Linked DNA regions of Nothobranchius furzeri. The protein of the gene in region 2 interacts with the protein of the main gene of each other region in a biochemical or structural test. Links are inferred from orthologs where the notes say so. Each region holds a gene or a part of one and is shown on either strand. Other genes may lie near its edges. The genes, in order: pard6b and prkcz.

Region 1 (12,210 bases), about 3.2 Mb from region 2:
GATGTTATTTGATGCTCGTGAGAACCATCGATGGCTCCTTCTACCTTATAACTGGTGAAGCGGAAATGATGCGTCCAGAGCTTGTCTGGAAAACCCATGTGTGCCATCCTTCTTGGTCGGACTTGTTCAAGCATCAGGAAGGAGTTGAGTTAGTTGTTGATCCTGTTTGTGCTAGCGTATCGGTTACGTCCTGCAGAGATGAGAGGTTAAGTATCACCGCGTGCGTCCTTATTAAGCTTTCATTTTCTCCCCCTCTGCTTTGCTTCCTAACTCCATTCAAAGTGTGGGAAACCAAAGCAGCCACTGCATAACTGGAATTTCTAACCGGCTGATTACGTTCTCTGTGTGGGTTGGGGGGGGGGACCGATTCGGCTAACGCCGCAGCTCGATGCTAAGGTGACTTATTTGAGATGGAGAGAAACAAAGCAGGCTAACTGGGTCGTTTTCCTTTCATTGATTAGAAATGAAGTTATGCGTTTAAGTTTGAGATCTCATGCAGATTAAAGCAAAACCAAAAACCGTTCAGGACAAAATATCCTGGAAGCAAATGAAGCTTTATTTTTATTTTTCATTACTTTTAATGCAGAGACTTTTGGAATAGAGACCAAGAACCTGATCTGGCATTGTTTTTGTTTCTCATTTAAGGTCTTTTCATTGAAAGAATCTGGAAGTTTCCAAGTGGCATCGGTAATGAAGTTCAGTTACTGTAGCGTCCTCTCCTAACAAGCATTCAGTTTCATTTAAAAGCAATCCGGACGCAGTAATGATGCTTTTCTACATTTATAACCCATAGCTGTAATTAGGTGGTTGGGATGCATTTTGTACCAACATATTTAATAACTGACCAGTGGAGGGTTTAACTGTCCAGAAGCTAAGCTGGTAACACGGAGGCTAACTACTGGGTTATTATGAGACTCTGTAAACATATTTAAAACGTAAAGCTTAAAGAGCAAGTCACCCCCTACCAGATTGATGGTAAATGGCAAATGGCCTGAATTTGATGTAGCATCTTCTAGAGTCCTGGAACCCCTCAAGGCACTTTACAACACAATCAGTCATTCACCCATTCACACACACTGGTGGGGATGAGCTACCATGTAGCCACAGCTGCCCTGGGGCGCACTGACAGAGGCGAGGCTGCCGAGCACTGGCGCCACCGGTCCCTCCGACCACCACCAGCAGGCAACGTGGGTTAAGCGTCTTGGTCAAGGATACAACGACAGCGACAGACTTGAGTGGGGCTTGAACCTGCAACCTTCCGATTATGAGGCGAGCACTTAACTCCTGTGCCACCGTCACCCCAGATTCTAACTCCACTCCCACTTCCTGTTAAGCGCCTCGTGATTTTTATCTTGAGAGGCGCTATAGAAATGATTCTTTCTTCTTCTTCTTCTGTTTGAAAAAGGCAACAAATGCTGTTGCCTAGCAGACCGAGAGGGCGGAGCCGGTAACAAATACACACACAGGCTCTTAACGACATTGTGACATCATATGGTACCAGCTAACGTTCTAGGGTGCCTCTTAGCCAATAGCGATGGCAGATTTAAATTCAAATGCAGTGCAGAGTTTTTACCTGACAACGACACAACTCTGACAGTTTTAGGCAGAAAAAAGTGCAAAACTATTGACGACACGTGTCTGCAGCACGATTACACACATTTATATAGTTTATCAGAAAAAAAATGTTGATTTGGGGGTGACTTGCTCTTTAAATTATCGAGCACACCGGCAAATGTGTCTTCATCACACCTGCTTATGAAATTACTACGAAGTTGTGATTAAGGAACATTTAGTCTTTTTTCACGTGTTTTCTCAGGCTTGCCTCCATTAATCATTAGCTAAACACATACCTGTGCACTCTGTGGGTACAGCACGTCACAGACGAGCTGTGAAATGTTTACCAAGCGCTGCGTTACTAAAAGCAACGTTCTGTATGTCCTGCCTTTACTCAACCACACACAGCACCCTCAGAATAACCTCCGAGTCAGAGATGTGGTGGAAAGTTTGTTTTCATGCTGTAATCATCAGAACAGGGCCTTGTTCGGGTTAGGGGTCCTCTTTGATTCTAATGATTGATTAAATCAACCGTGCCCGTTCAGCTCATGTGGACAGAAGTAAGTTGGGTACTGGGTTAGGTTCTGATCCTGGATAAAGCCCCAAGCAGACAACACAAGTCAAACGTCCAAGTCCCATTCTCCAGTCTCCGTTTCCAGAATACAGGAGGATGCTGGGTGCAGCTGATGCTGTTAAACAAACACAAACGTGATGCTATCTCAACATTTACACCTGTTGTCGGTGCCCTTTCTGCCCTAGTTCCTAACGTAAGGCACCTACGTGACCGCTGTGGACCCTCCAGACTTCTGACAGACTTCTGTGCCGGTCAGGAGTGTTCTGGACTCTGACCCCACTGAGCGTTAAAGAGACAGAAGCCGCTGAGACCTAGATCAGAGATCCAGTGGGTAGCACTGGACTTATTCTACTGAAACCCCCTCATCTACTTCTGCTCAGGCAACAGCTTAGTAAGCTAGCACACCTAGCTACCACAGATCTGGCCAAACTTCCTGTCCAGCTTCTCTGAGCCAAAAAAGCGTTATTCATGCACATGGAGAGGTGTCAGCTGAGGAGGAGGGATGGTGAGAGGGCAGCTTGATGGACGGATCACGATCCAATCATGAATATCGGGACGTTCACCGTGATTGGATGAGGTTTTTCCAGGATCATACGTTTCAGATGCGATTAAAATTATTCCTTATTTTTTTAAATAACAACAGTTTATTGGTTTCCATTGGTATGTGAAGAGTAGTTGAAGCAAAATGTCCAAAATGCTCCAGAATAATATCTCTTGCTTAAATGCTTGCCTTCTTTATGCAAATAAACGATCACGCATGCCGCTGGAGCCGCTTGGTTTCTTGTTTCTGCTCCGTGTGAGCGCCACCGAGTAGCCCCGAGGGACCGTCATGTCCTATGACGTAAAAGATGTAAAAGAGTGAAACGAGACTGGGAACATCACCTTCTCACGTGCATGACTGCCTCCTGTGTACGCGCGTATCTGTGTGTGTGTGTGTGTGTGTGTGTGTGTGTGCGTGTGCGCGCTTTGTTGATTCTGTTACTACAACACACACAGAAGGAGACTTCCTGGTCCCCTGCGGAGCTGTTGCAGCTGCATGCCTTCACTGGGAGGACAGCTCGTGTGTTCAGGGCCGACACCGTTATCGTGAGCCTCAGTACACCAAACTTGTGCCTCACGGGAACTGAAATGTGAGACCGCCGCTCTTTCCCGGGACAATCGATCCTTTGTTTTGGTTTTGGAATGAGGTGGGGAGTGGTGCAGCACGTACCTGTCAGGACCTGACCGCTAGGATCCTCATCAGCCACCTGAGCAGATACCCAGATAGCTCACACTGAAGCAAGCTCATTCTAAAATGACGAAAGTGAGTGTTTCATTTAGAGACCACTTTCATCTGAAAACAGATTCATCCCAGTGTTATAAATAGGAAAAACGGTCTAAAAGGTGAGCGCTTTGATGTCTCTTTCACAGCGATACCGAGCCAAAAAAAGTCACAGATGTTAATGTTTACCGCCGTGTTTTATGCTGGTTAACTATTAGGAATCCAAGGTTCAGTTTGTGAGTTGGCCATGACCGAACACACCTCCTTATCAAAGACAGATATCGTTTTTTTAACTCGCCCAACAGAAAGTTTCTTCATTTGTTTGATCCAGTTCAAATTACAGATGTAAAGCATGCAGCTTATTTTGACTGTAAGACGCTGGGAAACGACGCGTTTGGCTCTTTCGGGTCTAGCTGAGACCGCTCGCGCCGCACCAAACCTCACGAATCAAAACAATAACTCTTCACCAGTGTGTTGCCTCATAAAGCTCAGTTCCACGAAGCCGCCGCACGGCCGTAAAAACACAACTCATCATTTTACGCTCGCAGTTTGAGCCGAAGGTGAAGTACAGGAAGCTTTTATTTATTCAGCTGGCGCTCCTGTTTCAGGGGGCAGAAGTTTGTAGGAGGAGTGTGGGGGTTGGGTTAATCACATGAGTCTTACTCATTAGTTCATTCACTGACATGTTTTTACTGTGTGGGCGTCGGACGAGCCCCCGCATCGTGAGAACAAACATCTCAGCTCTAAAGCCGATCTTCATCTGCATACGTCACACGTCACGTGATCAGGAAGCAGAACGTCCATGTGTTAGGAGATCGTTTTGGGTCGCTGCTGTAAAAAAAAGTGAGGCGCGAACCGGAAAAGCTTCTGCCGATCACAATTCAACAACGGATTATGAAAGAACGGATAACGCTCGAAACGCGCGGATTCTTCCTGATGTAAGAGGTGAGTCTCCGCTGTTTTGGTTGTGTTGGCGTCAACATCATCCTAGCGCGCAACATTCTGCGAGTCTTAATAAAACAGTAAAAACGGAGAGAAACGCTGGCAGCGAATGAGTTGTTATTCATAATATGCCAACGTCTCGCTTCTGATTGGCTACCAGCAGCAAGACTCTTCCGCTGCTTTCGTTTGTGATTTTATTGATGTTTTCTCTCCAAAAACAAAACAAGCCAGAATACCGGGGGTGCTAACGGTTAGCTTCTACTAGCTGAGACACGCTCTGCTCTCCTCTTGCTGTGGGCGGTCCTAAGCCCAGGTGGGCGGGGTCAGTGAGTACTAACTTCCTCTGTGACTGGCTCTGCTGCTAATGCAGGCGATGGGGGTTGAAGATGATGTTCACGTGTGAAACTAACGGTGAAGGTCACACTGTTTCTATGGAAACAAGGCCTTTAAAGCGGCAGTGTTTAAACACTAAAGCACACTTGCAAGTGTGAGGTCAGATGGTTCGGCCCATCTGTGCCACCAGTCATATGCCTCTTAAATAAATAACACAGCATGTGCTCTAAACACCATATGTCGGGTTGTTTTGGGTTGGAACGGGCCTGAAAGTCCTGATTTTGGTGCTGAGCGACTTGTTGGCTGGTGCAGCTTTTGCATCAGGCTGACCAGAGGATAGCTGCAAGGATCAACATCTTCTCTGTTCTTCTGCAACGCCTGAAGCCGAAAACGTTATTCCTGCTTCCAAACGTTCGTGATGCAACCGACCGTCAGCCTGAACAACCGTTTCATGTGCTGCCAGCTGATTACTAGAAAATTAACCAGTTTTGTTTCCCTCTCCCTCCTTTGGTCTGAAACTTTCCCCCATCTTCCCCTTCCCCTTCTTCCTTTTCCTGTTTTGCAGAGGAAGCTGACTACGCGGCGTTTGGCACAGACTCTCTGACCAGGAAGAAGAACACGGTTCTTTCAGCGGTTCTTCTTCGGCCCGACGCCAACAAGAAAAAGCCGCCGGTGATCATCAGCCTCCCGAAAGACTTCCGGCCCGTGTCTTCCATCATCGATGTGGACATCCTTCCAGAGACGCACCGCCGCGTTCGTCTGTACAAGCACGGCCAGGAAAAGCCGTTGGGGTTTTACATTCGCGATGGCTCGAGCGTGCGGGTCACCCCACAGGGCCTGGAGAAGGTCCCGGGGATCTTCATCTCACGCCTGGTGCCCGGCGGCTTGGCCGAGAGCACCGGCCTTCTGGCTGTTAACGACGAGGTTCTGGAAGTGAACGGCATCGAGGTGGCTGGGAAGTCTCTGGACCAGGTGACGGACATGATGATCGCTAACAGCCACAATCTCATCATCACCGTGAAGCCTGCCAATCAGCGAAACAACGTCGTTCGCTGTGGAGGAGGAGGGGGCGCTGCCTCTGGCAGTTCAGGTCGCTCGTCAGACAGCGGCGCCAGCTACTACGGCTACTCGGCGCACGGCGCCGTGGCTTCGATGCCAACGCACATCATCCAGAACTTTAGCGCCGGGGAACTGGAGAGCGACGAAGACGAGGACCTGGTGATTGAAGCGGGAGGCGAGGCTGAAGCCATCCGGCACGCTCCCTCTGACTACAGCATCCCTTCGGTGCCTCGCTACGAACCACACCTCAACCTCCGCTCCCACTTCAGCTCCGCCTACTCCATCAACGCCAACGGGACGCTGCATGGCAGTGGCAGCAGCGGGTCACCGAATAACATTAATGCTAATTCGGCCTCGCCGTCCCCAGACAGAGCAAAGGAGAGGCGGAGCCTGGAGGAGGATGGCACCGTTATTACGCTGTAGACCCAAACCGGAGAACAGAAAGAGACACCTCCACATGCTTCAGGAGGTGGTGGCAGAGTCACGGAGCAACATTTCAAACCTGTACCTGTACTCTTGAAACACATTTTAATGTAAACGTCCGCAAAAGTTCGTACATTCTAGTAACGTCCACATTCAACACTAATGCTTCTCTACATGCCAAGCTAGTGTGCCATAGTGCTGACCCACAGGCACACCAACGTCTTCAGCGTGGATCTAGTTTTAACCTTTTAACGGCGTGTTGAAGAGGTCCATGAGGAACATCAGTCACCTATCTGCTTGGTGGTTCCTACGGGGTAATGCCAAAGCAGTTGACCAAATCCTGACAAACGCGTTTTTAAGCGTTGGCTTGTGTTTCCTGGCCAGAAGACGTTTAACCACTGCTCATATTCGTTTTCCACTTTGTTTTTACATCGCTGTGATCAACGACGGACCGAAGAAGCCTGCGTTTTTAATCTTTGTGTCTTTTTTTTTTCTTCTCAGACCAAGTTCAAGTAGAGAAACGTTCCAAATTCACACCTGGATGGCCTCTTAAGCCATATCTCACTACCTGCTGGGGACAAAAGCAGTTTCCAAAATGCCTCAAAATCTTCACGAGGTCCTTTCAGTCGCGGGGCGGCGCTTCTCTGTTGCTTTTTGAACAAATTTACTTTCCATATGGTCTCCAGCTTGTCTGGAGCTACCCTCGGTTTAGTTTTCATCAGTCAGTAAGTACGAAACGATTTGGGGAGGTATTAAGCTCCTGGGACCGTTTTTTAATCTCGCCCTGCTGTTTGGGATGAGCAGAGCCTCGTGAACGTGGAGAAAAATATATTTATACATAACTTTAGTCCTTTAAGACGGCGTCCCTACCTGTGGACGCCGGTTCTCGGGGGTTTAGGACACTTTGTGGCTAAATTGCAGAATAAAATAAAAACTGTTTTTGGCTTTGCACAAGCGTCATGCACCCTTGTGACCCGGCCTTTATTTTATGCCTCCAACCGAAACTCGCAGCCCTTTGAGATAAAAACCTGTTTGTTTGTTTTGTTGTTGTTGTTGTTGCACTCCATAACACAACGTGGACCGTTTCCTGATGTACATTTGGGGATAAAGGAAGGTGACGTTGAACCTGAGCTTCCTCCTCGTTTTCGTCTGATCCAGACCCCGCCGAGTACGCCCCAGGACGCTTCCACGTTTCGTCTTTAAATCCATCAGCTGAAAGCCGTTTAAACATTTCAGTTTTACTTCGGTGAGTCCGTTTTTATTTGTATGAAGTGTCGATGATTATTCGTTATTACAGCCGCAGAGGCTGGTCGGTAATCCAAACATGACCTGGTTGGAAACAAAAACACGCTCGGCGGCGTTGGATGCAAGCAAATTAGTGTATTTGCTGAAGGTGAAGCTGATCTTTGTGTACCTGCGGATCATGTACTGTTGAAGTTGCTGCAGCAGCTTGGATATGATGATGTTCAAAGCAAAGAAGCCTTCAGAATTCGTTTGATCAGTTATTGTTCCCCCAAACGGCTCACGAACGTCTTTAGAATGAATCTAGTTTTGAAGCGGCAGGAAAAACTCCTCTGATCATGAAACGGATCGGTTACATTTATGGGAAGCGTCCGTTTCCGTTGCACGCTGCAGCAAACCGCCTCTGTGGAGTGAGAGCAGGTGGTCTATCGTGTCTACTATTGATTTTTTAAGCATTCGCTCTCCTGCTAAAGTGCTACGCCTTGCTTTAGCATTGATTTCTATCTTGCATATTAAAGTAAAATCAGCACACAGCCACTTTCAGGCTTCATGTGAGTCCGTGTGCACTCGTGGAGACACTTTTAGGATCATTATCATGCTAATTAGCCTCATTAGTAGCTCTGTTTATCCTCTGATGAACTTCTACGTTAGTGACTGGAATAAACATGGCTGCCTGCACAGGTACTGCCTTTGTCGGTGGAGCGCCAAGCTCAGTCGTTCCTAACTTTTCAGCCACGAATCACAACTCTTGAGTTGAAGTTTGGTTTTTCTACTTGTTGATAATTTATTGCCGGTGTCTCTGACTTCACCACAGGACACCGGGATTGTAACCACACCGACATTTTAATTTATTCTGTAATCCTGATAAATGTTCTTTCTTTTTCACGTTCTGATGTTTTTACATGTTCACACTTATTGTTTCCAGCATCAAAGTGGCGGTACGGTAGATATTTTACTGTCGGTTGTGGATCATTTCAGTTTCTGGTTTTAAATATCAAAAAGGAGATTAAATAAAAAGCTATTTTCTTCATACTGTGAATTATGATTTTGTGTGGCAGTGAAACGGTTCTGTTAGCAACCTGAAATGTTTCACTTGTCGGGTTTTGTAGGCAACAGGGCGATGATTTTTGCTGCCAGATAAATTCTCTACTATAGATTTGTAATGAAGAACGTCAGTATTTTCATATCGATGCTTTCTAAATATGCGATGTGCGTTTTTATCATTTGAAGGAGACTGTTTTATGATTGAAGTGGAGATTTAAGAATACATGTAAACCTGTAACTGGTGATCGGCAGAGCTGGATAAAATAAACTAAATATGTAGCAATGAGAACTGTTTGGTGTTTTTTAATGTGTGGAAACAAACGTGCAGAGTTTGCTTTAATCGACACAGGAAATCAGCAGGGTGTGTGTCGTCTGATCTGAATCTGAGCTATTCAACAGCTCGCCATTTTCTAATTGTTCGGATAAGCTAATAAATGCTAAGATTTGTCTAAAATGTGAAATACAATATGGTCAGTTTTACTGTGGGCTAATTATATATTACTGATATTTATTACTCATAATACTTAGAAGATGGATTTTAAAATAAGTTTGGTGCATTTTCAGTAAAGAAAAATTATCACGTCCTACTGATATTGTTCTTATATGTCTGTTAAAGGATCAGAGGATGTTAATGATCGTTATCACGAACAATGAACAAGTACACGTTTTAATTATGAAATTAATTACTTTTCTCATTCTTGTCAAAAAGAAATAGATTTGATTGATAACCAAAATAATTTTTCTGAATAATTTTTCTTGTGGCGCTTAAACATCTCTACTGGAAAAACAACCCTCACTATGTCTACTTTATGGAGAAATGCTAGAATAGTAAATTTTATTCTAAAAAGTAACTTAAATAACAAGACTATTCATTCGACCACAAATTAATCATCATCTTACTTGTAGAAAAAATTATTTACAATTTCACAAAATGTTAATTATGATTAATCGATTAATCAACTGTACATACAGACGCAGGGCGACCAGCTGTGTTGATAGTTTATTTAGCCGTAATGTGTTGCTGCCACCTGGTGGACACGTGGTGAACTACCATTCTTTTGTGCGCCGCTTAGATCATTAAAAGTTCAAAGCGCCTCTGAACAAGAACACTAAAATGATTTAAGTTACATTCGGAACATATTTCTAACACATTATAAAACCAATAAATTATATGCGGCCCTTTTTGGGAAGACACGTTTCAACAACTGCTTCTGTTGTCACGCCGCTAGCCTGGAGTGACAGCTGAGAATCACGTGACGTGACGTGTAACCAACATGGTGGCGCTGAGCTGAGACCGAAACGGACACCGACCGACCCGACACCCTGGCTTTCGTTAGCTTTCATCGTTACCTGCTCTTTGGCAGGGCCAGGCCGGTGATGACGGCCTGAGAGAGGATCGGTTACACGATCGAGAGATGCAGGAACAGCCACACGCGCCGCCGCAGCAGCACGCGCAGTCAGAAAACAGTAAAACCAAGAGCATGTTTCTGTCCAGGGCGCTGGAGAAAATCCTCGCTGATAAGGAGGTGAAGAGGAGCCAGAACAGCCAGCTGCGGAAAGCCTGTCAGGTGGCGCTCGGTACGTGACTCGTGTTGTTTTCTGAGCAGCTCGCCTGTTTTACGTCTTTATTCATTCCAACGTTTTATTTATGCTTAGCTTGATGGAGAGGAGCTACTTAATTAGCTTTAGCACCTTTAGCCTTTACCGTCTGCTCCTCTGCCCGTTGGCACCCTGACAGCGGGTGAATAATTATGAGTTAACACGGCTCTCGTACTTTATTATAAACATTTGTTCGTGTATTAAATTGTCACCACTGTCAGGTTATTCAAGGTTACTGGTAAAGATATTGTTAGCATGTTGCGGCTAGTTTAGCTAAACAGACCAATCCTGGTGTTGTACGTAGCACTGTCACCCAGCCAGACAGTCCAGTCCTGCATCTGTTGGCAGACCGTTTTAACATATAATCACACCTCTCAGAACTCCTCATTTGCGTCTGTCAGTAATGGCATTCCTTCTTGTCTAAACTACTTCCTTATCAAGAAAATTAAAGATATACAGAGTCGCATTCCTACTTGTGATCATACTTTCTTCAAGGTTCCTGAACAACTTTGAAAACCTCAGTTTAACATATCGGTTTAACATCCTTTACATGTTTTTAATGACCTTTGTTTATTTTAATGTGAATTTCAGTTAATTTAATCAATTGGAGTCAGAAATTGTGATCCGGATGTCCAGAAGTGCTTCTAATAAAATCATCGCTCGTTACTTCAGAGATCTAAAGCGTCCTTTTCCTCAGGATAAACTAAAATGTTATTTTTGTCTAGGATTTCTAGGACGACTAAATTGATTGTAGATATCTAAAATATGAGATACTTTCTATAGTAAGCATGCTTCTTTATCTATTTAACATAGCAGCAATGTTAATTCTATAGTTTAAATGTTTTAACTAATATCTGAAGCCCATCACAGAAAACTTCAAAACAAATTGGTGTGGTGTGGTTTTGCAGACATGATTAATGGAAACCAGACTGTTATATGATTAATCAGCCTGCCATATAAACACACAAGGTATTTCACTTCCTGCTTTTCCATTCAAACACACACGGGTAACGTTACACACGTCCAACTGTGCTGTTTGACCTGCGCTTGTACTTCAGACCAACCTGCTACCTCTTTGTTTGTCTGAACTATAAATCCTTCTTAACGTTTTAATACCGATGACTGCACGATAAAGGTGTGTTTCTGTAAAATAAACCAACAATACAATATAAAGGCTGATTTTTAACGATGAGGATTCAGTTAGATGCACTAAATCTTTGAGATTTAGGACCGTTTCAGGTCTCGTTTGCTCTCCCCTGGCTTTCAGTTACACTCAAATTATTCATGAAACAAGTAAAACGCGACACTCCCTTCATTAACTTCCTCTTATAATCAGTGTGCAGGTTTTTGTCTGCTTCGGCAAAATTTCAATAACACAGAAGCGTTTAAACGTTTGAAATCTTAAGTTATATTTCAGTTATTCATGTAAAAGTCATCAGATCTTCTGGGTTTTACAAGTTGGCGAGAGTTTCCAGCACTAGACAAAAGAGATATTTATAAGTGTTTTATTAATTAAGAGTAGCCTTATTTTGAGTGTGTTTGTATGCATATCTTTGGTTTAGGCATGCAGCCGCGTTGGGAATTATGTGTTTAGTATTAATTTATGTGTTTAATACATTTTCAATTCATTCTGCTTCCATGTTTGGTTTTGTGACTTCAAACCATGATACTGCCACCCCTGGTTTATAAATAAGATGCGCTTCCTCTAAAGCACATCCTGAGCTCCTTCAAAGGAATCTCCTACCATCTTTATGCAGATGACATCCAACTGTACATCTCCTTTAAGCCCCATGAGATGTCTAAGCTGCAGCTGTTACACACCTGCTTAGACTCTATCAAAACCTGGATGGTGGGAGCTTTCTTCAGCTGAATGAAGATAAGACTGAGATCCTCATCTGTGCCCCAGACAAGCTGGTTCCAAAAGTCAGAGACTCTCTTGGTCGGCTTGCTTCTCACACCAAACCTTCTGTCAGGAATCTTGGTGTGACCTTTGACCCAGCTCTCACCCTGGATTCTCATGTCAGTTCTCTTGTTGGCTCTTCCTTCTTCCATCTCAGGAACGTTGCTAAGCTGAGTCCCATTCTGTCCCGCTCTGAACTTGAGACAGTTCTCCACACCTTCATCTCCTCACGCTTAGACTACTGTAACTCTCTTTTCACGTGTCTGAGCAGAACCTCCC
Region 2 (12,851 bases):
GAGCGTGTACATGTGTGTGTGTGTAAGACGGCGTCTGCCAGGTTTGTCAGGTTAAAGGTAAACCTCAGCTGGACTGGAGGTGAAGCAGACAGGCTTCCTCAGTAGGAACTACAGCACCCGTCTACACCCACACACCTGAGTGTGGAACTACAACACACACAAACACACTCAGGTGTGTGAACTGGAGCTTGAATATTACATAATTGGGACAAAGCTAACTTCACCGAGGTGTAATAATGTGGATCTACTGTCAACGACAGCAGGAAGTTTACACGGCTAGCTTCCCACTGCAGCTCCACATGCCACCCAGACTGGTTCATTATTGAAGCCTAAATTACGCCCAGGTGTGGTCCTAAATCAGACCCACACCTGTTTCATTTAACTCAGTGGTAAACATCTACACTCCCCTAGAGCATTACCAGGACCACCACACTAATACGGTGTTTGACCCCCTTTCTCCCTCAGAACGGCCTTAATTCTACGTGGCGTTGATCCAACAAGGTGCTGAAAGCATCTTTAGAAATGTCGGCCATATTGATAGGACAGCATCTTGCAGCTGATGGAGATGTGTGGGATGCACATCCAGGGCACGAAGCTCCCGGTCCACCACATCCCAAAGATGCTCTATCGGGGTGAGATCTAGTGACCGTGGGGGTCGCTGTAGTAGTGAACTCATCGTCATGTACAAGAAACTAGTTAGAAATGACTGGAGCTTCATGACCTGCTGGAAGTAGCCATCAGAGGACGGGTACATGGTGGTCATGAAGGGATGGACATGGTCAGAAACAATGCTCAGGAAGCCCGTGGCATTTAAACCATGCCCAGTTGGCACTAAGGGGCCTAAAGTGTGTCAAGAAACCATCCCCCACACCATGACACCTCCACCACCAGCCTGCACAGTGGTAACAAGGCATGATGGATCCATGTTCTCGTTCTGTTTACGCCAAATTCTGACTCGACCATCTGAATGTCTCAACAGAAACGGAGACTCATCAGAGCAGGCAACATTTTCCAGTCTTCAACTGTCCAGTTTTGGTGAGCTGGTGCTAATTGTAGCCTCTTGTTCCTGTTTGTAGTGGAGATGAGTGGTGCTGTAGTCCATCCGCCTCAAGGTTGTGCGTGTTGTGGCTTCACAAATGCTTTGCTGCGTTCCTCGGTTGTAACGAGGGTTAGGGTCTTCTATCAGCTTGAATCAGTCGGCCCATTCACCTCTGACCTCTGGCATCAACAAGACATTTTCCCCTCAGGACTGCCGCATACTGGGACAAAACACGGATCACAAACACAGAACAATAACGTTTAAAAGATGGATCACAGAAGCAGTTGAAACAAGGAGGCGTGGACCCAGGACCATGAACAGGGACTAAGGAGTCTACACGCTGGACCAATCATGGGACATGGTGATCAGCGGAGGGGGCGCGGCCAGCAAGGGACGACACCTGAAGGACAAGGGACACACCTTTGAAGAGGACAAAGTAAACATGGACAGAGAAGATAGATGGTGTGAGAGGAGTAAAAGAAGCTAGCCATGTCAAACGTGAAAAACCCACTTTAAATAGGGGCGGGGCTTAGATTTCACCTGCCCAGTACCTATAATGCAGCTTTGAGTCTCATTCCTGAGCAGCTTCAGTCTAGCTTGCACCTTCCTGTGTCTGATCAACACAACGACTCATCAGGCGATGGAGAGGAGGGGTACTCGCAGTAGTTTCTGCTCGTTAAACAACAACAGACAGCTACAGCCATGAGCTTGACTCTCCCATATTCCAGTCTGAACCGGCAAAGCTCCTCGGGTGAGAAGACAAACGTCTTCATGAAACCAAAGAAGTCCAGCTGCCTTCATCTGAACCCGTTTGGATTTTCTTTGACACGGTAGAAACTTTCATTCTTATTGTTTTTCACCATCTATGAACACATAAATCACACAGTCATCAGATTTATAAACTTCTGTTATTCCAAGTTAAGGCAAGTGTGAAAATTTATCTATTTTACACATAATTATGTTTTATACATCAACACATGCTGAACTGATCTGGCCTAGAGTCTGGCTCTAGCTCCTCCTGCGCGCACACACACACATGCACACACACACACACACACACACACATGCACACACACACAGTAGAAGAAATGAGCTGCTAAACCATAAAGAGGATCAGGATTTTCCACAGAAACAATGCTTCTGTGTCTGACTGATGAATTTTCTAATAAATGTAACAAACTGATTATCCTGCTGCTGGTTTGTGTTCAGAAGCAGGAACCACCTCGTAACCACCTCCTGGTGTTTCTGCACCAGGTTCACTTCACGGTCTGGAAGCAGAGCTGCCAACAGGATTTCTACATGCTTTACCATCAGGTGAAATCTAAGCCCTCCGCCACTATTTAAAGCCCCAGTGTGTAATATTTTACCTGTTTACTATAAATCCTGTTTCCAGTTCACCAACTTCTCCTTTTTAATTAACATTTCTCACCAACATCAAGTCTAAATATTCCTCTCAGCTGTAAAGTTTACGTTTTAAATACATAAACTGTGGTCGACGCTCCGTGGTCATCCACCATCTTGAAATACAGTAGCTGTTGAGGGACATACGAGCTCCGGTTTGTGTGTTTGGACTATGACTGTAACCTGAAAGAACCAGCAGAGGGCAGCAGTGCACCCTGGAAGCCTGGAGTCTCTCTTCCTGCAGCCTGCCGTCTCCCCAACACGCTCCAGCGCTCGTCTGCTAGCCAGTGGCTAAATCAGCGTCGTTTATGTGATCTCCACAAACACGTTACTAACGGCGACGTGGTTCTCCACGCGTCACAGAGATGACGTGCTTCTCCAAGGGCTTCTTCTCAAACGTTAACTTGGACGCGGGTCTCCTTCGGCTGGTGGTCCGTGTTCACAGCACACAGTGCCTCCCCGGCTCGCCAGCCGTGGCTCACGCCAGTATCTGGTGACTAAAAGTCAGCATTGTTTGCTTGATCTCCAGTGTCCTCCCGGCTCGCTAACCCTCCTTCACCAGCCATGGCGCTGCCAGTGATCGCTCCATAAAAGATCGTTTTCTTTCTTTCTTTTTCCAGATCCGTTGGCTGGGAGCAAGCTTGTTTACGAAGCTGCTCTCATCCACGTGAAACAGGTGTTGTGGGAATTTATGTTCCCCTGAAATACTCTGTTTCCTTTAGGCAGTAGAGAGCAAATATTTCTGGATTGACAGAAGTTTTGTCCATTATGAGGACTAAACTCCCCTGAATTAAAGATGGTTAACCTGAGTGAGATTACATCCTTTTACATAATTAACGATAAATAATAGTGAACAAGGATGTTTTTACTGTACCTTCTTTATTGGTTTCAGGAGGACACATCAGGAGCCTAAGTCACCTCTGCATCACGGGTCCCGGAAGAACAAAAACATGAAGTTAAGTCAACGGGGCTACAGAGCCATTTTCTAGCCCTGGATCACACGTGTTGGACTGCTGTTTACATGAAAAGTAATGACGTGTTTCCACCACGCCAGTCACGTACTTTGAGATTTATCAGCTTGTAAAAGTTTGTGATTAGCATGACTACGCACCAGAAATCAGCACGTCACATATATGATGTCACCATATAAGCTCCTCCCCCTAGCGTAGCTGCTACTCACCACATGACCAGATTTATGGTGGTTCTTTCCTCCTGTGGGAAGTTTGCTGAACTTACAGCCATTTCCCCTCAGTTTCCTCTATGTCTGGTTCGATGACATCACTCTGGTGAAGCGCATTTGTAGTCCTGGACTTATTTTCACACAACACCTAAAATAGTGTTTACCCGTTAGAAAATAAGCGCGTTCTCGGTATCAAAATGTTCTTTAACATTCACGGACATCATATGTGAAATCCATGTCACAAAACAAGCGGAATGAGAAAACAGCGTTTTTAGCCCCGTTGACATTTATTCGTTCTTCCGGGGACCCGTGGTCCGGAAGTGACTTAGGCTCCCAATGGATGTAAAAACATCACAAACATGACATTATTACATGACATCATTTTCCAATTAAAGTCGATCACAAATGTTGTGAAGGTAGCCTGAAGTGTGACCTCCCGACGGCAGAATATTTCAGGGGAACACAATTTCTCACAACACCTGACCTCCCGGCTGACGTCACCCCTCCTCCCTGTGTGAATGGTGACAGCTTCCAGATCTAGCAGAACTAGCTTGCTTCCTTCAGCACTGGTAGGTTGATAACAGTCATAACTATAAATGCTGTGTACTGCTGGTGCAGTTATAACTTATAACTACACCAGCAGTACACAGCATTATCTAAGCATTATAAGCTCTGTGTGGGTTAGGCTAGAGAGGCTGGAGACCGGTGAGTAGGCCTCCGCAGCTGCAATACTCTCTCTGAGCTGCACGGCGCTGAAGATCGTGACTTGAATTTATCTACCCAAACATGAAAAACCCACTTTAAATAGGGGCGGGGTCTTAGATTTCACCACACGTCAACGTGTGTGTGTGTGTGTGCGTGCGTGCGTGCGTGCGTGCGTGCGTGCGTGCGTGTGTGTGTGTGTCCTACAGGGAAAAAGCAGTGATGGGAATTCTCAGACCTGAGGGATGTTTTGTTTACCTGCATCCTGACTACAGCAGTACATTAAATCACTCACACACACACACACACACACACACACACACACACACACACACACACACACACACACACACACACACACACACACACACACACACAGTCGTTTTGCATTAAATTCTAGCTTCATTGAGAGCTTGACATTTAATCTGAGCCCAAATGCTTCAAATCACTAAGTTTGTATTTATTTTTCTGCTCTAAAGTGTTTCTGCTGCCCAACACAAAGATTCCACTTCATTTGCATGTATTTGTTTAAAAAGGCCCTTCTGCGACCGGCGCGGACGCCCAAGGTGCTGAACACAACACAAATAAAAAATAAAAGCATCAAATCAAATGTAACTATGGTGAAACCAACATAGGACAGTTAAAAGTAAAAACAGAGCATAAAATACAGCAAACCAATAAGAGGCCGGGCAACAAAACCATTTTTAAAATGCTAATCCTGGAAAGCCTTGACAGAAAAGTGGGTCTTCAGGCGAGCCTTAAAAACCATCAGAAGGTGACGAACACACCACCAAAGGTGGTCCACCAACCAACCAACCAACCAGCCTTCATCCAAGAGCTTCCACAGCCATGTATGTTATTGGAAAAAAGGTTATTCATGCCTTTGCTTTCTAGTATGTTGAACTCATTGTAAAACCCTACATGACCTTTAGGTTATGAGCAACCTTTAAATAAGGGCCTATAAACGCTCCAGTGGTGACAAACTGTCACTATTTTATCTTACAAGACAAAAGTCCATGTTTGTCTTATTCAGGCAGCCTTTAAACGTTTTCCTAACAAGTATTTTCCTCCTCTACACCTTGGGAGAGAGGCAGTTGAAGGCAGGTCTCAGACCAGACCTGGTCTATGGATGACCAGGGTACAAACTGATCCAGAACACCATCCTGGAAGCCTCCATTCCACAGGTGTCTCCCCGTCCCCTCCATCCGGATAAATCCTGCCAGACACCTGCTTACACCTCTCGCGGACTCACTTACCCTCCATAATGTGCCTTCACTTTGACCCAGCCCGAGTCCAGGTCCATGATGGTTCCGTTTGACGCTAGCATATGCATGGTTCGGTTGGGTTAAACTGGCCCAACGGAACAGGTCCAAAGTTTGTGGCCCAGAACTTGCTGTCACGCCTCGGAACTAAAAGTTCTTACATAACGAGGTCCGGGCCTGGGTTTACTCCAGCGTCTTTGAAGAAAGGTAGAAGAGCTTCGGAGAAGTTTCTATCGTTTGGGAAACATTTAATGCTTCGATGACGAAGACGTTAGCAAGTTAGCTTGAGTGGCGGTAAAAGTTCCGGAAGTTGGATTTCAAATTAAAAGAAATACTGCGTCATTTGGATTGTAACTTGTGTTTCAACAGAAGGAAATGATTTTATTTTGAAAACAAGTGTCTCACTTGTGAAGTCGTCTGTAATTTAACTTGACAGATTCGTTCCGCCTCACTATGGTTACGGTAATCTAAATTCACCTGTCCCGCTGCTACCGTCGACGTCCTCGCGGCGGAGAAAGTCGCGTATTCATATCGGGATGGTGCAGATTCGTTCTGGTTGATGTACGGAAAGATTTATCAGCGTACTTTGTGTCTTCTTCCTTATTCTGGGATCTGGGTAGTCTGACAAGCCAGACTAAATACATTTATAATTTAACATTTGCAAAGGAAGTATTTGGTCTAGTTCACTACGCTAGGATCTGTGAGCTCCTATCAGTGAACACGTTATTCTGAAAAATAAAACAGTAAATATTTATAAAAGCTTTTTATTTTCTTTAAATAACTTGCAGCCGTAACTAAGACACAAAAATCTGCCTAAACAGAATTTCGTTCAACACGGAAATAGTCATTAAGCGCCACCTGCTGGCTGATTTGTGGCACCGATTTTAGAAAAGTTTAATTTTAGTTTATGAATTTAAACGAATAATTTCATTATTCGTTTCATAACTGTAAATTTGTCAGTGTTTATCATTGTTAGACATGTACTGTGATAAAAGGCTTTACAATCCATTTCTAAACTCAATAACTCTAAACCACATAGTTTTAATTTCATTGTTTTCATTTTTATATCTTAGTGTTTTTATATTTTTTGTAATGTGTTGATCTTGTTTTATTTTTCCCATGGCTGTAAAGTGTCCTTGGGTGTCAAGAAATGCGCTTTTAAATAAAATGAACTATTATTATTATAAATGTTTGTGTTTAGTTTTATGTAAAACAAAATAAAATACATTTAAAATATGACACACAAACCATTTGCTGACACAAAAAATCAGTAAACTTGAACTTAAAAATTCTGCCAGAAACATCAAAAATTTAAATTTATGGAAACTGAAATAATCTAAACCTGATGTTTGTTTTTGCCCTCGGGTTAAATGTTTATACAACTGAACAGATGTTTGTTTTTTTGTTTGTTCTAGTATTTTATAGTGTGATTCACTAGTTATGATTTTAAATTAATATAAGCCTAATTGATTATAAAAATAATAATAGCCAATAATGATCATTTTTATCTCTCGGCTGTATCAAAATTTACATTTCCGCTACTTGAATGGATTCTTTGCTCCGTCTATAATCTGATTTTATTGGCACTTTTCTCTGTAACATGCATGATTTCTTTTCAGTACAGTTGCTAAACTTACACAGAATCATAGCTCTGAGCCATCTATTCCCTTAGCCCTCAGCAGCAATGACTTCATGGGATTTTTTACAAGTAAAATTAATTCTATTAGAAACTAAATCTTTTGCATCCTCCCTAATGCGACTTCTTCTTCCTCAGTAAGTGAGGCAGCATCAGAGGTAACTGTAGAACCTCATCTGTGCTTGAACCGTTTTGATCCAGTTGAGCTTTCAGAGTTATCAAAAATATTAGCTTCATCTAAACCTTCAACTTGCATTTTGGATCCAATCCCAACCAAATTATTTAAAGATGCATTTCCTTTGGTTACTGCCCCCATTCTAGATATAATCAATCTATCCTTAGTAAATGGGTATGGGTATGTACCACAGGATTTTAAGGTTGCTGTAATCAAACCTTCACTTAAGAAGCCTTCTCTGGATCCAGATGACCCAATGAATTATAGACCAATATCTAACCTTCCATTTTTATCCAAAGTCCTGGAGAAAATAGTGGCCATCCAAGTATGTGAGCATTTAAACACCAATGCTCTGTTTGAGGAATTTCAGTCTGGTTTTAGAGAGTATCACAGCACTGAAACTGCATTAGTGAGAGTTACAAATGATATTCTCATGGCCTCAGATAAGAATCTTGTGTCTGTTCTAGTCTTGTTAGATCTCAGTGCTGCCTTTGACACAGTTGATCACAATGTTCTTTTAGAAAGACTTGAACATGTTGTAGGGATCAAAGGAACAGCATTAGGCTGGTTTAAACCCTACCTGTCTGACAGATTTCATTTTGTAAATGTACATGACAAATCTTCTTCATACTCCAGGGTTACTTGCGGAGTACCACAGGGTTCAGTGCTTGGACCAATTCTTTTTACTATATATATGCTCCCAATTGGTAAAATCATTAGACAGCATGGGATAAACTTCCACTGTTATGCTGACGATACTCAGTTATATTTATCCATTAACCCTGATGAACCTAATCGGTTGGGTAGATTACAGGCTTGTCTTGAGGACATAAAAAATTGGATGACTCTAAACTTTTTGCTTTTAAATCAAGACAAGACGGAAGTTCTCATCTTTGGACCAGAAATCCAGAAAAGGAAATTGCTTAGCCAATCGCCTGACCTGAATGGCATTACATTAATCTCCGAGAACAAAGTAAGGAACCTTGGTGTTATCTTTGACCAGGACATGTCATTCAAATCCCAGGTTAAACAGGTTTGTAGGATTTCCTTTTTCCACCTTCGGAATATTGCTAAGATTAGAAGCATACTTTCCAGGAGTGATGCTGAAAAACTAGTTCATGCATTCATTACATCAAGACTGGATTACTGTAATTCATTACTCTCAGGAAGTCCACAGAATGTAGTTAAAAGTCTTCAGCTTGTCCAAAATGCTGCAGCTAGAGTTCTGATGAGAATTAAAAAGAGAGATCATATCTCTCCTGTCTTAGCTTCCCTACATTGGCTACCTGTTAAATTCAGAATAGATTTTAAGATCCTTCTTCTCACATATAAAGCTCTTAATAATCAAGCTCCATCATACATCAGTAATCTGATTGTTCCATATGTTCCTAACCGAGCACTTCGCTCTCAGACTGCAGGTCTACTGGTGGTTCCCAGAATATCTAAAATTAGGATGGGAGGCAGATCTTTTAGTTATCAGGCTCCTCTCCTGTGGAACCAGCTCCCAGCTTTAGTCCGTGAGGCAGACACCTTGTCTACTTTTAAGAATAGGCTTAAAACATTTTATTTGATAGGGCCTATGGTTAAAATCTGATGTTAGCCTAAATCTGGACAAGTGGGGGAGTAGAGGGAGGTGGAGTGTACAGTCGGTAAAGACGGCTCTCCCTTGCCCTGCCTCCAACATGCCTCCATCTAAATAGGATAGGTTATCCAGAGTTATCTCTGTAGTTATGCTGCTATAGGCTTAGACTGCTGGAGGACACACTGACCACTTTCCACACTCTACTGCTTTATTCTACAATCTGCTCTTTAACTGTATTATTTCCTGCTATTTCAGCTGTTAACTTTATTTTCTCTCTAAGTGTTTCTCTCCCCAGAAGAACCTACAATGATGTTCTGCTGAGCTGTGGTGGCCTCATGGAGGGGGCCATCGACTAGCACACTGATGCTAACCACTTAAACATTCTCCCTCTCCTGATAATAACTTTTTGCTTTCCTTGACGTTGGATGTGCTACTACTAGTTTACCCGTTTAATTATAGATCCACTAGGATAAATACAATAAAACTTTATCTCTCACCAAATAGAATATTTACTAAGACATCACAATTTAACTAGACACATTACTTTGTCTTTGTGTGCGTGTGTGTGTGTGTGTCTTCTCCATCCCCAGTGAGTCGTGGAGGATGGCTGCTTATACTGAGCCAGGATTCTCTGGAGGTTTCTTCCTTTTAAAAGGGAGTTTTCCTCTCCACTGTCGCTGCATGCTTGCTTAGTATGAGGATTGCTGTATAGTCACTGGTACTAGTCAGTGACTTGATGTAATTTGCTGGGTTCCTTATGTAGGAAACATTATTTCTGATTGGCTTAATGAACTGACCTGAATTGGAATGTTTATTATGTGAAGTGCCTTGAGACGACTCTTGTCGTGATTTGGCGCTTTATAAATAAACTTGAATTGAAATTGAATTACTAGGGACAGTGCATATTAATGAACTTCAGCAACAAATTGTATCAGTAAATATGCCAGATTGTAGCATCAGTGCTGACTTACGTCTGCAGTCCCTAAAAGTAGCAGAAAGCAAAGTTTTGTTTAAAACTAGGAAAACCAGAAAGGAAACGCGTCACTGTCAGGACAAACTACTGATGGACTCAGGTTTGGTTTTCCTTCAGCCGGAGTTTAAGTTGGAATGTGAAGGAATTCTCTTTCTTAGGCTGTTCCAATATTTTGTCCCATTAATGATAGTGCGGTGTGCCCGAAAGCAGTGTGCCTGTGAGGCCCCTCACAGTCTCCTCTAACTGTGGCCCTGGTGGACGTTCCACTTGTAGACGTGATTTAATCCAATCTGTCAGAGGGAGGAGCTCGTCCATGTAAACCTTAAAAACCAGGCAAGCATTCCTAAGATGAAGTCGTCGACATGTCTCTAAAACTGAGCAGTGGTGGAAACTAAACGATGTTACTGAGGACTTTTCATAAGAACCTCATGCTGCCTGTGACGTGCTTCAGTTGCTGCTCACTGGTGAATTCATCACTCATGATGAAGATAAACCATTAAGAAGGCAGAAACACATCTGTAGGTGAGTCTGTGGCAGCTGTTAGACAGAACCTGGTTCTGGTTGGAGTCGGACACGAGCAGAGCAGGAATACCCGAGGAAGGGCGGAAAAGAACATTTCGTTTGATCCAAAAGATCTCCAGAAGAACAAAGAAACCTCCAGAAAATTATTCATGACGGAAAAAATAAAAAGGTTTTCATTGAGCACAAAAATAATTATCTGTATGGGAAAAAACTTGGATTTTCAAAATAAAACCACAAGACTTTATTTAAAAAGGTTAGTTAAAGCACAGCGTTGAATAAAAAATAATACAGATTTTTTAAAATCATCTACAAGAATAAACTTGTTAAAAATGTTTGGTTTTACTGAACCCTCTTTAAGCACCAGAATCACCCCGGAACGTCACCGCGGGCAACAGAACAGGAGTTATTTTTGTTTTGTACACAAGTCAAAATTAGGTCAAGAGTCAACATCTTACACTGCTTTCACATCCGGGTCGGTAGTCTGGTTCGGGACCAGAATTTGGTTTCACACCAGGGTCACATACGCATTTTACATTCTGAGGTGACTCTTTTTCAGACCTCTTCCTCAGAGGTCCGACTGGGATTGGGGGGCTACGGACTTGTCTGTGCATTTTGAACGCTGTCCACGCGCTCGGGGGTTTCTGCCTTCCTGAGAACTCCTGTGGTCTGATGAGCTGTTTAAAACTAGCGGCACCAACAGCATGCCGCACAAGCCCCCCCCACCCCCCGGTTGTTTAACTCACATGTTCCCAAACCCAGAAATGACCAGTAGGCGGAGCTTGGGACTGTCACTGGTTTGTTCATGAATATAATAACTACGTCTAATAGGCAGCAGAAACTTCGGCGGTTCTCTCAGCTTTGGTCTTTAGACTCTCAGCTCGTCGTCGCTTCTCCCACGATGGAGGTTACGTCTTTTTCTCTTCAAGTCTCCGATTCCTGGTGATCTCGTTTAGTTTCTTCATTCTTCTTCAGGAGAGTCGGGTCCTTGGTTAGAACGTCCTGGGTGGCACAGATGAACACAGACGTGGTTATGAATCTGCCCTTTGCCAACGACAGGTGGTTCTCTGCGACCACCTGCCATTGACAAAGGGGGGTCTTGTAGCGTCATCAAGGTTCTCTAATTAGTGGCAAAGGTCACATTTACCCAGCTGGGTCAAGCTGGGTCAGGCTGTAACTTTTACGTCCACAGATTAACCCAGGAGTCATGATGTCTGAAGAACATATCTGCTGCTGCTCCGTCCCAGGACACTTCAAGTTCACGATAATAATTAAATAATATTAATAAACTCTTTGATTTTATTACTGTTTATTATAATCATCATAAATAATCACTTGGTTGAGTATAAATGTATTTTAATTACTGAAATGACTTATTATGCTTTGGGTATAATAATGATTACTATGGTTGATGATCAGTAATGTGTGTTCCAGCAAATCAGAAGGTCAGCTCCATCTTATCCATCTAACACAGAGTTTATCCAGGGTAAAGGGTAACTGCCATCAGTTTTTGACGCATGACCAAAGCCTTCTCGCTGAGAGTGGGAGTGTTCTGAGGTCTTTGTAAACCAACCTGCAACAGCTTTCACGCCAGTTCTTGAACCAACACCATCGAGGAGACGGGCCGGCCGCCCTGATCCTCTGCCAAGCTGTTCTGTCGCGCCGATAAGAACAGCTAAGAATAAACGTAAACTGTAACCAGCTGACGAAAACTCCTTCCAGAAGTTACTGATTTCTGAGTTAAGACGAGAAACTCCTTCAGAGTTACGGACTTTGAGACGCCAATAGTTTCATCAGTCGTGTGACCCACGGAGACAACCCAGGACTGATTTGGTCGCATCGAGGTCCTTCTACCACCCTCGTGCCCGGAGGAAATCATCTCCACCTGACATCTCGGATCCAAAAGGGGGTCTCTGGAAACCGGGTGAGGTAGACACTTTCGACAGATGACGTTTGATGCTGTTCTCTAAGTAAACAACTCAGTTAGCTGCAAAACATCATTTCCAGCCAGAACGCGTTCCTCTCTCTGAAAGAAATCTGAGAATTCCAGTCACGCATCCAAACTCGTACTTTCATTCAGCTTTCATCCAGCCACAGGTTTGCTTTCAAAACAAGTTTAATATCAAAGCTGTTAAAAATTGTCATTTATAATTGTCGTTCAAATCTTAGTTTAAAAATTGTTAGTAATAAAATTCTTCATTTTTAAACTTGCCTCATTATTGAAATGAAACACAGAAAGGTATAATTATTTCTGGTTATTGAAAAGCAAAGATCCCTAGCTTCTGATTCAAAGATAAACTTTTGTTATTAAATTTAATTATCTTATTAAACATTAATCTTTGGATTAAAAATAGACCAAACGGGTTGGTGCATGAACTTAGA

What was found.
Region 1: the proteins of prkcz (region 2) and pard6b form a complex in vitro, tested with the Homo sapiens proteins (2 studies listed by BioGRID). The link is inferred for Nothobranchius furzeri from reciprocal best matches to the Homo sapiens genes PRKCZ and PARD6B.

The regions. Positions count from the first base shown.
Region 1 is NC_091755.1:48,086,257-48,098,466, reverse strand, and holds the end of pard6b (partitioning defective 6 homolog beta), read left to right. Parts: intron 1-3,955; exon of another isoform or gene 3,956-4,072; coding exon of another isoform or gene 4,073-4,334; intron 4,335-5,229; coding exon 5,230-6,146; 3' UTR 6,147-6,284; downstream 6,285-12,210. Other genes in the region: arfgef2 (brefeldin A-inhibited guanine nucleotide-exchange protein 2), read left to right, coding at 9,848-10,010. UniProt on the Homo sapiens protein: Adapter protein involved in asymmetrical cell division and cell polarization processes. Probably involved in formation of epithelial tight junctions.
Region 2 is NC_091755.1:44,872,332-44,885,182, reverse strand, and holds the start of prkcz (protein kinase C zeta type), read right to left. Parts: upstream 5,876-12,851; 5' UTR 5,656-5,875; coding exon 5,579-5,655; intron 1-5,578. UniProt on the Homo sapiens protein: Calcium- and diacylglycerol-independent serine/threonine-protein kinase that functions in phosphatidylinositol 3-kinase (PI3K) pathway and mitogen-activated protein (MAP) kinase cascade, and is involved in NF-kappa-B activation, mitogenic signaling, cell proliferation, cell polarity, inflammatory response and maintenance of long-term potentiation (LTP).